Linked DNA regions of Alligator mississippiensis. The protein of the gene in region 2 purifies or fractionates together with the protein of the main gene of each other region. This does not show direct contact. Links are inferred from orthologs where the notes say so. Each region holds a gene or a part of one and is shown on either strand. Other genes may lie near its edges.

Evidence for each region.
Region 1: the proteins of RHOC (region 2) and DAAM1 purify together in Homo sapiens (affinity purification with mass spectrometry; 3 studies listed by BioGRID and IntAct, counting the BioPlex papers as one, with this or other methods). This does not show direct contact. The link is inferred for Alligator mississippiensis from reciprocal best matches to the Homo sapiens genes RHOC and DAAM1.

What each region holds. Positions count from the first base shown.
Region 1 is NC_081825.1:295,939,566-295,946,485, reverse strand, and holds the start of DAAM1 (disheveled-associated activator of morphogenesis 1), read right to left. Parts: upstream 3,095-6,920; 5' UTR 2,997-3,094; intron 1-2,996. UniProt on the Homo sapiens protein: Binds to disheveled (Dvl) and Rho, and mediates Wnt-induced Dvl-Rho complex formation. May play a role as a scaffolding protein to recruit Rho-GDP and Rho-GEF, thereby enhancing Rho-GTP formation. Can direct nucleation and elongation of new actin filaments.
Region 2 is NC_081837.1:44,752,926-44,759,890, forward strand, and holds the start of RHOC (rho-related GTP-binding protein RhoC), read right to left. Parts: upstream 3,037-6,965; 5' UTR 2,934-3,036; intron 2,775-2,933; exon of another isoform or gene 2,688-2,774; intron 2,606-2,687; exon of another isoform or gene 2,325-2,605; intron 1-2,324. UniProt on the Homo sapiens protein: Regulates a signal transduction pathway linking plasma membrane receptors to the assembly of focal adhesions and actin stress fibers.

The sequences.
Region 1 (6,920 bases), on a different chromosome or scaffold from region 2:
CAACCCCCCCAAAAGGGCACTTGGCATTTGCTTTCGACACTCCCCAGCTTCCCCTCTGCTGCCAAGCTCATGCTGGGTTTCAACAGCTCGGAGCTGATGGACAGAGCATGTAAATAGCAGGCGAGGGGAGGAAGCGCTGGCCCTCGACAGGAACCCAGACGGCAGGGGTTATGCTCCTGAGCAGCAGGTAAACAACACTGGCAAGCGGCTGAGGATTGAATCTCTTTGCACCTCCTGTGCGGGTTTCCAGGAGGAGAAATCACTCGGCTGTGAAGTGCATGGAAACAATAACAGTTCAAAAGGCAGGGAGATAAACAGAGCCCAGCTAGACTTGCTGTCCCCGGGCCCTTCTCGTCCTTTGCTAGGAAGATGTTCTGCAATTCCCTGTCCCCTACAACCCTCTCCCTCATCCGTATTGGGGAAAAAAAGGGTTTGGAGCAGGAGCTGACTCAGTTCAAGACCACTATTGCTCAGCCTAAAGCACAGAGGAAGAGCCAGTGCTGGTTTACACCTCACCCATCCTGTTTACTTCACGGGGGCTGGCACAGGGTGTACACCAGAGTCTAAAATTGGGTGTACACCTAGTTCGCTGATGAAATCTAATCTACTTGGGACAGGAACATCAGGAAGAGATTGACTCCTCACCCATGCATAAGCCAAGGAGCAGGCAGGGCTCAGTACCACAAACTGCCAAGTGCCTTCAGCTATCCCGAATGCTTGCAGAAAAGGACAATTTTCTTGCCATTTTCCTGTTGGTCTAATAAAAAGTATCATTTTGGAACCAAGAGTTCTAGTTTTTTTGTATGTCTTCAGCTCCTATTGAATTTGCACCTTGGAAGAGCAAAATGAACTGACAACATGGACTTTCCTTTTGAGATTCATATTCCAGCCCAGGGCAGACAATACTGATATGCAAAACACTGGCCTTCTAGGGCTAGTCACAGATCTCTTATCCTACTGTAACCAATTAGCAAGAGACAGTAACATGGGAGGCAGATGACTGGCTTAAAAGAAACCAGAGGTAGTTTAGTCTGTAGGCTTCAGGAGCAATAGATCCTTCTCAGGTAACAGATTTTGACACGGTGGGACTAATGTAATCCTCATGGAAGTGATGAAGTTAGTGCTTGCAGGGAGACGCATTTGTTTGACCCCCTCAGCTGAAACTCATTGCCAAGAAGAAACCGTACTTGTAAAACTTCCCTTGCGCAAAGCGGAACAAGACTGTTCTGGCTCACAAAGAGCGGTAACCCGCAGCCATCCAAGAACTGTATCAGGCATCATCAAGAACAAGCTCTGCGGGAGAAACTCGCAGAACAGGACAGCTAAGGCCTCTCGGTAGCTCACATTAACTGTTTTGGAGACAAGGGTCTGAGGAAGTAATCAAGAGGTTGCACTTTTCTGAAGTGCACTGGATGTCCAAATTCTGCACTGATTATCTGAAGCACTCAGGGCTTACCATGCTCATCCAGGGTACCAGCCCCAACACCTACAAACCTCCTGTCGGATATCTAGTCCCCAGTGGGGAACCAAGACCTGGAATACCAATGCATCGTCTAGCAATATTAACATCCTCCAGAGACCTCTGTTTTCTAGGAAGAGGAAACGTCTCCAACTTGAGGAGACAAGACATTTCTTCTTTTCCTTTAACTTCTTGCAACAGGAAAAAAAACAAAACAAAACCAAGAGGGGAACTTCAGCTCCTAAGTATCCCAGCAGCATCCCACATCCCCAATCATGTAAGCACAGCCCTGCCTGGCTAACACCAACCCGAACAGCTATTTTAGTTTTAAATGTTCACCTTCAGACTCCAAGGAGGAAACGCCGACCTCACTGCAACTACGTCTTGCCCAGATCAGGCTTTCACCCCAGTATCCGATCTTTCAGAGCTGCTGAGCTCTTGCTTCTTACAGACACTCACACACGCGCCCCTCGCCCCTCCAAAATCAAACAGCAGGTGCCAGCATCGCAGTCATCGCCAAGAAGTTGGATCACCCAAGACTAGCAACGTTTGCCGACGCAAGTAGCCCCGTTCAGACTGCAAATCTGTGGCAGCATCATAGTCTCTAGAGTCCTGGTCCGGAGCCTAAAACCACAGACACACGCCGGTTCTCCCTCCGACACCGGTGCACATTTATCACAACATAATCCGTACGATAATCCCCACCCCTGCTACTGCGGTGCTGAATTAAGACGGTCAAGTCCTCAGAGCAGGGACTTGATCTTCACGGAGGCTCTGCAGGGTGCCGGGCACGCACCTCGCAGCCTGTCCCGAACGCAGGGCAGACCCCAGCAGAGCGAAGTCCCGGACCCCTGGGCCCCGCGGAGGCTGCTCTTGCGTCGTGGCAGCAGGGAAACACGGCGCGGGAGAGCTCGCACGTCTGCTCAGATGCCTTCAGGGGCACCGGCAGATGCAGCGACCTCCTTGCCGCCCCCCAATGGAGAGCGGGCAACGGGCGGGGAAGCAGGTGAACCCCGACAGCTGCCAGCAGGCAATGCCTCCGTCTCCCGTCTTCTCTCCCGCTCCTTTCTGGGCTGGCCGTCCCCTGTCATGCAAGGTGGGGACGCTGCCTGTCCCCCAAGGCTGGAGCCCTGAGCTCCCAATTGGGGGGGGTGGGGAGGGGTCTCCCTGCAGACTGCAGTGGTCGAGCAGGGGCGCAGACCCAGTGCCACCCCGGGGCACGGGCAGGGATGGGGAGCAGGGACCCTGGGGAGGTTAGCCTGGCAGGGGTAGCCATAGCAACCGGCCCCTCCATCCCTTCGCCGCGGTGCAGGGATGCAGCCCCCCGCGCCCACCTGCCCTCACCTCGCCTCGCCCGGCCCGGCCCGAACCCGCTCGCACGGCTTTGTTAGCGGCTCGCGGCTGCAGGAAAGGGAGCCGGGAGGAGGCGCGGGGAGCAAGGGCTCGGGCTGCACCAAAACCCCCGCTCCCCTGGGGTTTGTATTGCGACGCACCGTGCACGCTACCCCGTGCCGTGCCGTGCCGTGCCGTGCCTTACCTGCAGCGCGCGGACATCGCGAGCCGCCCGCCCGCCGCGGCGCCCTGCCCACAATGGGAGCCGGCTCCGCGCGCCCCTGCCCAGCCCGCAGGTGACATCATCCCCGCCCCGCCTGATAGGGTACAATGTGCAACGCAATGCGCAGGCGCAGCTCCTCCGCACCCCCCCCCACACCGGAGCCGGCGGCGCGCGGCCTGCTGGGAGTGGTAGTTCGGAGGCGGCGCCGCTGCCCGCCACCGCCCTGGAGGCGCGGACTACATTTCCCGCCCGCCCCTGAGGCGGGGCAGAGACGGCTGCGACCAGCTGCACCTGGCGGCCCCGGAGGGGTGGGAGAGGGGGTGTAGCGCCAGGGGGCGGGGTACACACACGAGCAATTACACACACACACACGCACACACACACACACACACTTTATACACACATACGACACGGACAACCCTGAGTCTGCAATGATCTCTATATACAGGAAACCATGTCTCAACATACATTCATATATACATATACATACACATATAGACATGTTTATATACCCACACATATATATATACACACACACACACATATATACATATATATATATATATATATATATATATAGACAGGTTTATACACCCACACACACATCTATATCTATACATATATATACACACACAAATATATATACAGTACATACATATATATATATATTTTATATATAAAAGGATCATTGCAGCCTCAGGCTTGTCCTGTCTCCTCTGTGAGGAGATTATTATTATTTTTTTTTAATGTTTCGGTGTTGCAAGCCAGATTGGCCAAGTCAATTCCAAATCCGTGAGCCAGCCCAGAGCCGTAAGCGGCCCTACTACTGGCAAACATCCTCCACCCCCCTGGGGCTTCAGATGTTTCCAAATCCTTTGGCGGGCATCCTACTTGCAGGCCCAAGCCCGGAGGCTCTGGGGTTCGGATGCCCCTGAGTTTTGCTTGCCCTCAGCCGTAAGGCCCCAGGAGGAGTCTCCCCTTTCCATAAAGTGGGCATAAAGCCAAGGTTAACTATGCATTACCTACACGGGTACTATCCCATGCCACCAGAGCAGTCTTTCCTGAGGACGTGCACAAGAGCTGCCACTGACTGCCTCAGACCACCGCTGCGTCCTGCCCAGTGCCGTGTCACCCCGGGGCAGCGAGCCGAGGCTGGAAGGGAGAGTGAGCGGGGTCTGAGCAGGGTTTCCACCCCTGTTCCTCTCCCCCAGGCAGCTGCCAGCATTTCAGGGCTAGAAGCTGTGACTCAGAGGCTGTGCCCCTCATGCCCAGGCTTGATAGCCACAAATGCTCCTTTCCTCCACACTGTCCAATCCCTTTTTGAAGCTGTCGCCACCAGTTCCACACTTTAATGATACATGGTGTGAAAAAGCATGGTAGCAGGGGGGTTGCACTGGGGCACTTGCACCCACTTTGATGCCTGCTCCGCCCATGGCGCAGCTGGGAGAGAGCTAGCTGAGCTCTGGACTGCAGGATTCCTGGACCGCTGGCTCTTGACCATGTAAGACTCGATGAACCCCTCATTAGACTTGAGGCACCCCCTGTGCAGCTTTGATGAACCAAGTAGCACCCCCTTTTAAAGACTATTTTATATTTTGCTGTGCATGTCTCCATCTAGAATTTTGCAAAGGCGGGTTGCAGATGGTGAGGTGCATTATCCCGTATGAAACAACACATGTTTTTCTCCAGTTAAAAAAATAAATGAGAAGCTTTACTAATATTCTACTCATACACAAGTAATATCAGCAAGTACACAAGCAGATACAGGGGAGAGTTAACCAGCAGGTAGCCACCAGCCAACATACAACAAACCAACCAGCACAAATCTACAGGGTAGATTCATTACTCATTGGTTAGGCAGAAGGCAGGGCACATTAGAGATCAACTGGCTGAATCCAGGCAGACTCCAGTCCAGAGAGATCACAAGCTAAGGCTATGATACTGCCAATGCTTACAAACATCCCTGACTTTATATGTGAAGAGGCCGCTGGATTCCAACGGGGCTGTAATCATGCATAAACATGGCCAAGTGCACAAGTGTTTACAAGATCAGGACTTTGGTTAGGACTAGATGCAGCAAATGCATGGGAAAAAACCCAGGAAGGAAAGGATGAGGTTAAGGTAGAATGAGCCAGTTATTAGACCTCACAAGACCTCCTCAGGTCACCACCTTGCTAGCCAATGCCAGCAGATAGTGCTTTGCAGACATTTGTCTTAAGAAGGATCTGAAGTCAGAGTCACATAGTGAATCTTCCCAGGGAGCTTTTTCCAAATGATATGAAGGAAAAAGCCCCAAACATCAAGATAAAAGCAACTTGACAACCTGAATTTGAAATTCCTTTTTCCAATCATCATGTGGGATGTGCAAATAAAAAGGAGGGTCATATACAAGCCAGATCAATATCCAAGGTGCTTTTAGCACGGTCCAACAAGATTGTCCCAACCACCAATGTTCTCTGGATGTGATCTTATGTTTTATAAATCACTTTCAGAAGTTTCTACTCCAAGTCAGCCTGCGGTCCTGAAACATTGGACTATGGCCGACGCTCCATTTGGGCTGAAATAACCTTTTTTGGGCAAGAGGTGCCTGTAGAGTGCCTCTCAGGTCACACGGGAGAAATAATGGTACATTTTGGAGCAGATCAAATTCAAGCTCAAATCAATGGTATGCAAACACGGCAAACACACTTTTGGTGTGGGAATCAAGCTTCTCAACTCTTGCGTTACCTTCCTTAGTCATGTTAGTCAGAAGAAGTACAATGAGCCAGAAGAGGAGACGCGCCCAGAAGAGGGATTATATTTCATATGTGGGCAGGTACATAACCAAGAGATGTAAGGAGCGCTAGTGATGGGGCAGTAAAAAAGAAGGGAGGAACTTCCTTGTGAGAGTTAGCGCAAGGGGTATATACACAACATGGTGTAATACAGAAAGAGCAGCTTTAATGACCCTAGCAGGCCTGCCTTTGGTACAAAACTTACAGTCCTTTTTCTTGGGAGCAGCAGCCAGAGGCACCAAGATCAGAAGAATGAACCGTTTATACGCATGCCTATCTATCTTACCCAAGGCTTACCATTTCCCAGAAGACTTGGGAAGACACCAGCTGCTTGAGACACTCCTGCAGGGCTTGCCTGTCTGTCCATGTCAGTCTGTTTCTCCCACGAACAGCTCAGTGACAGCTCCCTTTCCCACTTGCTCTCTCCAGGGAGTCACCTTAACTGTTTAATAACTCTCTAAGCTCCCAAACTTGCCCAACTAGCTGTGTGACTTGACTGAGGCCTGGCAGTAGCATCTCCCTAGTTAATAAGGGCTGGGCTGTTCTCTTGTAATTGCCTCTCAAGAGTTTGTTGAGAGGCTGGTTATGGTATTTAGGGCTATTTAGGGCTACTGTGTTCCTTTGCTCTTCATTATTTCTCACACACACCCCCGCCCCCATTATTAAATTAATACAGCCATACAGGGCCATGTATTTAATAACCCAGTATAGCCAGATAGGCACGGTCTCAAAATAGCAGGCACAAAAGTATTACAGATCATTATGTATTACAGATTATGATGCAGTGGCTACCACATCTCTGCCACATCTCCCTAGTCTTCCATTATGAGAATGAGCATTTCTGTTCACACACACTACCTGGGGAATAATCCACGGTGCTTTACGGCACTTGTTATTTGATACTGTTTATTGATTTTTTTGCATAACTAGATCAAATCACTTTCTCTCTGCTGGAGAAAATAGCTTCTGGTTTTATATTTGGAACAGTGTATTAAGCCCATCTCAGAGTTAGATGTTAGGTACTCACTAAAGCCTAGAAATGTTCTCGGAGCTAGACACATGTCTGATCAATAATTTTATTATCCTTTGGGCATCGCTTTTCTGTGCCGCTGAAATGAAATTCAAGTTTGCA
Region 2 (6,965 bases):
AAATCCTCCGAGCCCAGACTGCTGCAGTGCCCCGGCAACCAGAAGTGACCCCCAATCAGCTGGAAACGTCCCAGACCGACTCCAAGAGAAACCAGCCGCGTGTTTCGGGGAAAGCAGCGACTCAAGTTTTGCCGGGCTGGTCTCAATGTTTGCACATCTGATCGGTGACACGGGGTTTGGCAAAGCGAGAGAGTGATTTCATGGACACGCAGCATCCTGCGCGCGGGACCCGCTGTATATTTACATCATGCACAAAGGGCCCTGGCTGACAACCCATGCTCCAGCGAATAATTGTTGTTCACAATTAATGCAAAGAGAACAATCCAGTTCCCACAGAAGCCTGAAGTGCGCTCCCCACCGTCCCCACAGGCGCTCCTTTGTGCTTCTTGAGCTCATCGCAGCCAGGCCCCTTCCCTTTCTTCAGGGCCTGTGAGTTTCTCTACGCCCTTCCCTCTCCTCCCCCCAGCAAGACAAACACAGACAGTTTTAAGGACGTGGGGTACTACATCTTTGGCAAGAGCCGGCTGGAACAGGTGGCTGATTCACTCGTGGTCAGACACGGGCTGCAGCAGGACACATCGGGCTCCCTCGTGAGGAGCCATCGCCGTGCGCTCACCGCCAAGGGCATTGCCGCTCAAAACGCGAGGCTCTAATGCAACAGAAAACATCTTGTTACTTTCAGTTTCAGGATTTAGACATTTCCCTTGCAGTTCAGGAGTGCCGGGGCGTGCAATCCAGCAAGCGGAACAGCTCGGGGCCTGACCGAGGACAAAAGTGAAATGAGCTAATAGTTCACCCCCGTGGCAGAGTCCTGGGAAATGCAGAAAGCAAGCAGAGGAACCTGAGATTTTAAAGGGTGTCTGTGCCTGAAAGCTTGCAAAGAACAATTTTTCCAACTGTTTAGTTGGTTTAATAAAAGATATCACATCTACCCAAAGAACCTGGTCTGCCTTGGCATTTTAAAGACACTTTCTGTTCTAAAAGTGCTTGGATCACTTATGCCCGCTTATGCCCCCAAAACTAACACAAGCAAGGAACCCTCTTGCCATTTTAATCCAAATGTCCCTTAAAAAACAATGTGAAGACTATCTCTGGAGGACAGGAAAAGGTCCCCCAGGGTAGGCCATGCAGGAAGCCTCTCTCCACTCAGGACTGATTAGTCTCTTGGCAAGAGGCAACGAGAGCTCACGTGAGCGTTAAACATCCTTTCCTCACTGCTGAGCTCATGCTTCTGGTTTCAGAGCTGCGGCTGCCAACTGAACTTTGCTCCTTTATATGACACGATGCTGAGGAGGAGAAGCAAAAGTTTTCTTCCCCGGCTGCCAAACCAGTCGGACGGCTTTAAGGATTTGATTTGAGCAGGACCCAGGTTGAAAACCTTGCAGAGCATGCAGCGTATGGGGCAAATAACAAGCAGCACTCTTTCCGCGCACCTGGCTGGAGAGCAGGGCAGCCTGCCCCCATTTCTGACCCTCTGCAGCTCACATTACATTCGCATGTCATTCCCGGAGGAATTGTCCCACGTGCCTTTACCCACGGGCAGCAATGCCACGGACTCTTCCGCCTACCACATTGCAAGAGCATGTCCAGTGACCAAAATCCTGGCTACACAGGTGGGCAAGGCCAGTGTTATGTCAAAAAGACAATCAGTCACCCACCAAGCAGGACCCAACTTGACGCTAGAGGCAATCTTGCCCCTCCGTGCACCCCAGGGTGCTGGCTACAGCAGCAAGGCAGAGGCTGGCGGCAGGACTGGTTTATGCCAGAGTGGGGGAGGTCTGCTGGGCAGGATGTGAGGATTACTCCCTGCTCCAAGAAAGGCTGCAAGGCCAGTGCTTCCCGAGGAAGCTTTGCTGCAAATCCCCTCTGAACGTGGGTGGCTGCAGCTCTGCTGGGGGAAGTTCACCCACTGCTACGCATCCGCTCCAGATAACGGAGCGCAGGCCCCAAATCCCACGGGACCCCGCTCGGCTGTCATCCGCATCCGTTCCCAAAGGGGAGCTGCTCAAAGAGACTAGCGAAACATTCCCGTCCCCCCACCTTACAGCTCGAGACCTGAGCCACCGTCTTCCCCACCAGCCTGTGCCGAGGGCAGGCTCCCGAGTCCCCATCGCACTCGCGCCCCAAGGAGCAGGTCGCGCCGCTCACAGAGCCGTCAGGGCCACGTTAGAAATAAATAGCTGAAGGCAGCCCCTTCTCACAATCGCTTGCTTAGGAAAGAAGACACTTCACCTCCCTCTGGCTAGGCGCCCCTGTCCCAAACCTCAGCTGATCTCAGTCCGGCGGCCCATCCGGGTGCGTCCTTCTGCTTCAGGAAAACCCACCTGTCCGGCGCAAGCAGGAGCTGGCAGAGCTTTGCTCGCCCGCCCGATACCCAGCGGGCAGCAGGGATGGCGCAGGGTTTGCCAGCAGGAACAACTCTTGAAGCCAAGGTTTGCAGCCCCCACCCAAGGCCCGGGAGCGTGCAGGGCTGTCCGTCCCGGCCAAAAAAGGAAGCTGAGCACAAATTGAGGCTGTTCGGCGCTCGGCACGGCCAAGGGAGGACACTTGGCACGGCCAGCGTGGAAGTGGAGGCGGTGCAAGCGGGCAGCTGGACCCTGGGAGAAGGGAGCGCTGCAGGGTGGGGGTGCAGGACCCGGGGGCTGGGCTGGGGTCCCGGGGGCTGCCCCGCGCCCGCGCCCCGGTACCTGCGCTCCGCTGCGCTGCGCTGCGCTGCGCTCCGCGGCGACAAGGGCTGGGCGGCCGGGAGGGGCCGGCGGGACTGACAGCGCCGCGCACCGCCCACCCGGCCGCGCTGCGCTGCCCCGGGCAGGCAGGGCAGGGGCTGCCCCGCGCCCCGCCGCCGCCGCCGGCCGGCTCGGGGCTGGCGCAGGGAGCGCGAGCTGCAGCCCGGGGCGGGACAGGCGCTAGCCCGTGCCCGTGGTGGTGCCCACCTGGCCCTCCGACGGCTCTCGCCCTGGCAGGGGGACCCGGGACTGCTAAGGCAGGTGTCCAGGTCGCACCCCGCAGCGAATGCACGCCCGGGAGCGAGCGCACTGGACATGCTCTTGCAACCTCCCACTTCCATTTCCAGGGGGAAGAGCTTGGCTTTGCGCCCACTTGGTGGAAAGGGGAGGCTCCTCCCTAGCTTGCTCCTGCCGCCCACCCTAGGGCTGAGGGCAAGTCAAAGCCGGGGGCATCTGAACCCCAAGCCCCCGGGCTCGGGCCTGCATGTAGGATGCCCGCCAAATGGTTTGGAAACATCTGAAGCCAGTAGCAGCAGGGCCACTTATGGTTCTGGACCGATTCGCCGATTTGGAATCGATTTGGCTGATTTGGCTTGGGACATGACAAGCTTTCCTTTAAAAAAAACCAGAAAAAGAAAAAATGCTGTGTTGGGCTGTGTTTAGTGCTGCCCAGAGCTCATCAGTCCAAGAGAGAAGGGTTTAAGGAGAGAGAAACCCAGAGGACACCTCCCTGGCCTGTATTCCTCCATGAGAAAAGCACTCGTGCCTCATTCAAGGGGTCGGGGGGAAAGTATACCCCAAGCCATCCTTAACCACAGGGGAGAGCGAGGGGTCCTTCCGCTGAGCAAGGCAGGTGGCTACACCTATACAAGTGTACGTCGTTTATAGGGTATCCAGGTTGTAGCCGTATTGGTCTAGAGGCAAAAGGAATAGGAACTCGTGGCAGAGGTGATGTCTTTCATTAGAGCAACTAGATGTTTGCAAAAACATGTCTTTATTTGCAAGCTTTCGGGCACAGGCCCCCTTCTTCTGGCAGAGGAGAGTACACATCTTTGCACAGCTTTGTACTCTCCTCCGCCTGAAGAAGGGGGCCTGTGCCCCAAACCAAACAAAGCTGGATTTTTATTTTTTTTTTTTGCAAATATCTAGTTGGTCTAATAAAAGGTATCACCTCTGCCATGAGTTGTGATTCCTGGTGTCATTTATACACATATAAATGTGTATGTCATTTATGCACATAAATATCAGCCCCTGAGGCAGGAACCAGATGCCGACCGTGTCATGCTCTGCTGGCTGCAGCATTTCCTGCCTTTATGGCCAGCTGCTGCCCCAAGAAGCCTGGAAAGCCTGATGCAATCCAATTTATTTGATTTTTAGGGACAGTTTTGTGCTGCACTGAGTCACCAGCGGCAGGGGGAGCAGGAGGGGCTGTGAACTCCACCCCGAGGATACAGCACGGGCTTCGTCTCGCAGCTAGGCCTTTGCCTCAGGGGAGAGGAGGAATTAAGGATTAGACATTTACTGTCATGGAATCAGAACAGCAACTGTGCCCGCTCGCTCGGACAGTCATGACCAGGACCAGCGCTCTTCAAGGCGAAAGCCAAGCTCCAGCCGGGACCTGGGAGACGGCCCCTCGGTCGTGTGCCGTGGGCTTGCTCGGGAGCAGCAGGCATTGCCGGTCACTGATGGAGTCGCGGGAGACTAGCTGGGCCATTGCTCTCTTCTGGGAGCAGCCGTGGGGCAGGGGGCTCGGCCTGCCGTGATGCCTCTGCAGGGTTGCATCTAGCTTTGGGTCAGCGTTTCCCAACGTGTCCGGCTATGCACACGGAGCCAGCAACAAGCAGCAGGGGGAAAAAGAGGCCAAGAGCACTTCATGGTTTCTTTTTCTGATGTCTCGCAGGAAACGTTCACCTGCTTTTGTTCTTACCACGGACAGAAAGGGACAGCCAGACACAAGAAATCGCCAGGCTCCCCCAGCGTGAACCCGCTCTGGCAGCCCAAGGCTGTTGCACCAACCCCGAGTGAGCCTCAGCTCTCCCCCCGCACAGGCCATCACCGATCTCATCCTCGCGACCAGAACTGTCTGTCACAGGGCCCCGGGAGCTGCTGTCATTGCTGACGGCCGCGCCAAGAGGCCCCGTCTGAGATCAGGGCCCCTCGTTCTCACGCGCCGCTCTGCAGGACAGGGCCTCTCTGTTGCTCGAGGCCGAGGCAGACAAAGGGACCGAGGAAAACAGAGGTCCTGTCACGCCGCCAAGCAGCACGTCCTGGGCTGGGCTCAGCTTTGCTCAGGCCCTTTCTGCTCATTTGCACCCTCCAGAGCTAACCCAGCCCCTGTCCTACCAGCAAGGCAACCTTTCCTCTGCCACCTCAGCCTGCACAGTGCCCCACGGGGCTCGCTCCCCACTGCCTGGTCCTTTGTGCCCCCATGCATGTGCCTTGCCCCTCGTCTGAATGTTTCTAACAGAGCAAAATGAGGGCTGGAAGGGACCTCAGGAGATCACATCTAGTCCAACCCCCTGCTCAAACCAGGAGCAGCCCCAGCAACATCATCCCAGACAAGGCTTTGTCCACCTGGGTCTTAAAAACTCACAGGCTTGCCCTGGTCTCACATTGGGTCACCTGCAGCAGTAGCAATGGAAACCCCGGTCCAGACCTGTGCCTTGCTGCACTGGGGGCCGCGTCCCCAAGTCAGAAGCAGTCTCTGTCCCCCAAACAGTTCACTGCTGCTTTTAAGGTGGGTGACAAGTGGGTGAACAAGCCATGCAGGTAGAAGCAGGGGTAAGGACCCACTTAGTCGTGCCAGCGATGCGTGGAGGGGCTGCGTCATGTTCCCCCTTTGCACAGGGATTTGTTGGAGGAGGGATGAAGCAAAGAGTTACATTTTTATGCACACATACACACATGTATGCACACACATGTACACACACACCGGCAGTCCCAGCTGCAGGGCTGTGCGCTGGTGACTCAACTGGCAGGAAAAGCCAGCCCCGGAGCCTGGGGGTGGGGAGCGGGGTGCAACAGCTCCCAGCCTCCTGCCCTTCCCCGTCCCTGTGCACTGTACCAGCAAAGTGCTCCTGGCATGGACACTAGTGGCAAAGCCACACCAGGCCCCCTGGCAGGTGAGACAAGCTGGGCATTGGAAGTGCAAGTGCACCTGTCCGGTGCATCGGCACGGCCAGAGCACCAGACAGCAGGCAAGGGAAGAAGCAGCGACCGAAGGGCCCGGGAGAAGAAGGCAGCAGGGAGGTTTTCCACAGGCCCTGGCATTTCCAGCTCCTGCTCCTTCCAGTGCTGCGGGGTCAGGAAGCTGCTAGGAGGGGGAGACAGCGGCCACGCCTGAGCTCACCCGGAGGAGGGGAAAGGAGAGAGCCACCCTGCCTCGAGTCTCCTTGCCCTGGCTGGGGTCCCGGGGAGTCTCCAGCTCCTCCCATTCCTGAGGCTTTCGGCTTTGCACTCCTCGGCTCCCAGCCCTGTTTGCACTTGGACTCTGCCTCCCATGTCTCACCTTTGGGAAAAAGAGGCCTGGAGCAGGGCCAGGGCAAGTTTGGGCCTCCCCTGCTCCGTCCTGCCCAAGCTCAGCCAGGGTTTGCTCCCCCACCGCCTCCCAAGGCCCTCCACTCCATATGTCACAGGGCTGCTGGTGGCTGCCACAGGCACCTGTGCATTGCACACAGATAATGTGTGCGCCGGGGCTGAACTAACACGGCCCTGGGAACCTCACAGATGCAGGCGTCTGAGGTCCCGGCCTCGGGGACATGCTCACTGCAGTGTTGTAAAAGACCAAGCAGCAGCTCCGGCTGGATCAGGTGAGTGCAAGGATCAGACATCAGCTCCCCTTCTCTGGTCCTTGGCGTGATATCTGCACCCCGGCAGGGCGGCTGCCAAACACATGTGTCTGGGTTGGCTGGAGCCTTATGGCCCATACACTGGTACAAATGATAATGCCTGGTGTGGGCGCGTGGAGAGTTAGACCCAGCACATAGAGAGCCAGGACCTGATGAGATTCACTCCCTTCCCGCGTAATGGGGACAGGACCCATCTCACACTGGCATGTTGCAAGCTGGCGATGCCTTTCCTCCCAGCACCTCGGAGTGTGAGGCCACGTCCCTCCACCCTGCCCCTCGGGCCGGGCACTGCTCCGTGCAGCCTGGCACCAAACCATCAAACGGAGGGATTTGTAACCCGTTAGCTAAACCGTGGCAAAAGGCCGTGACACACACATCATGCACCTGAAAC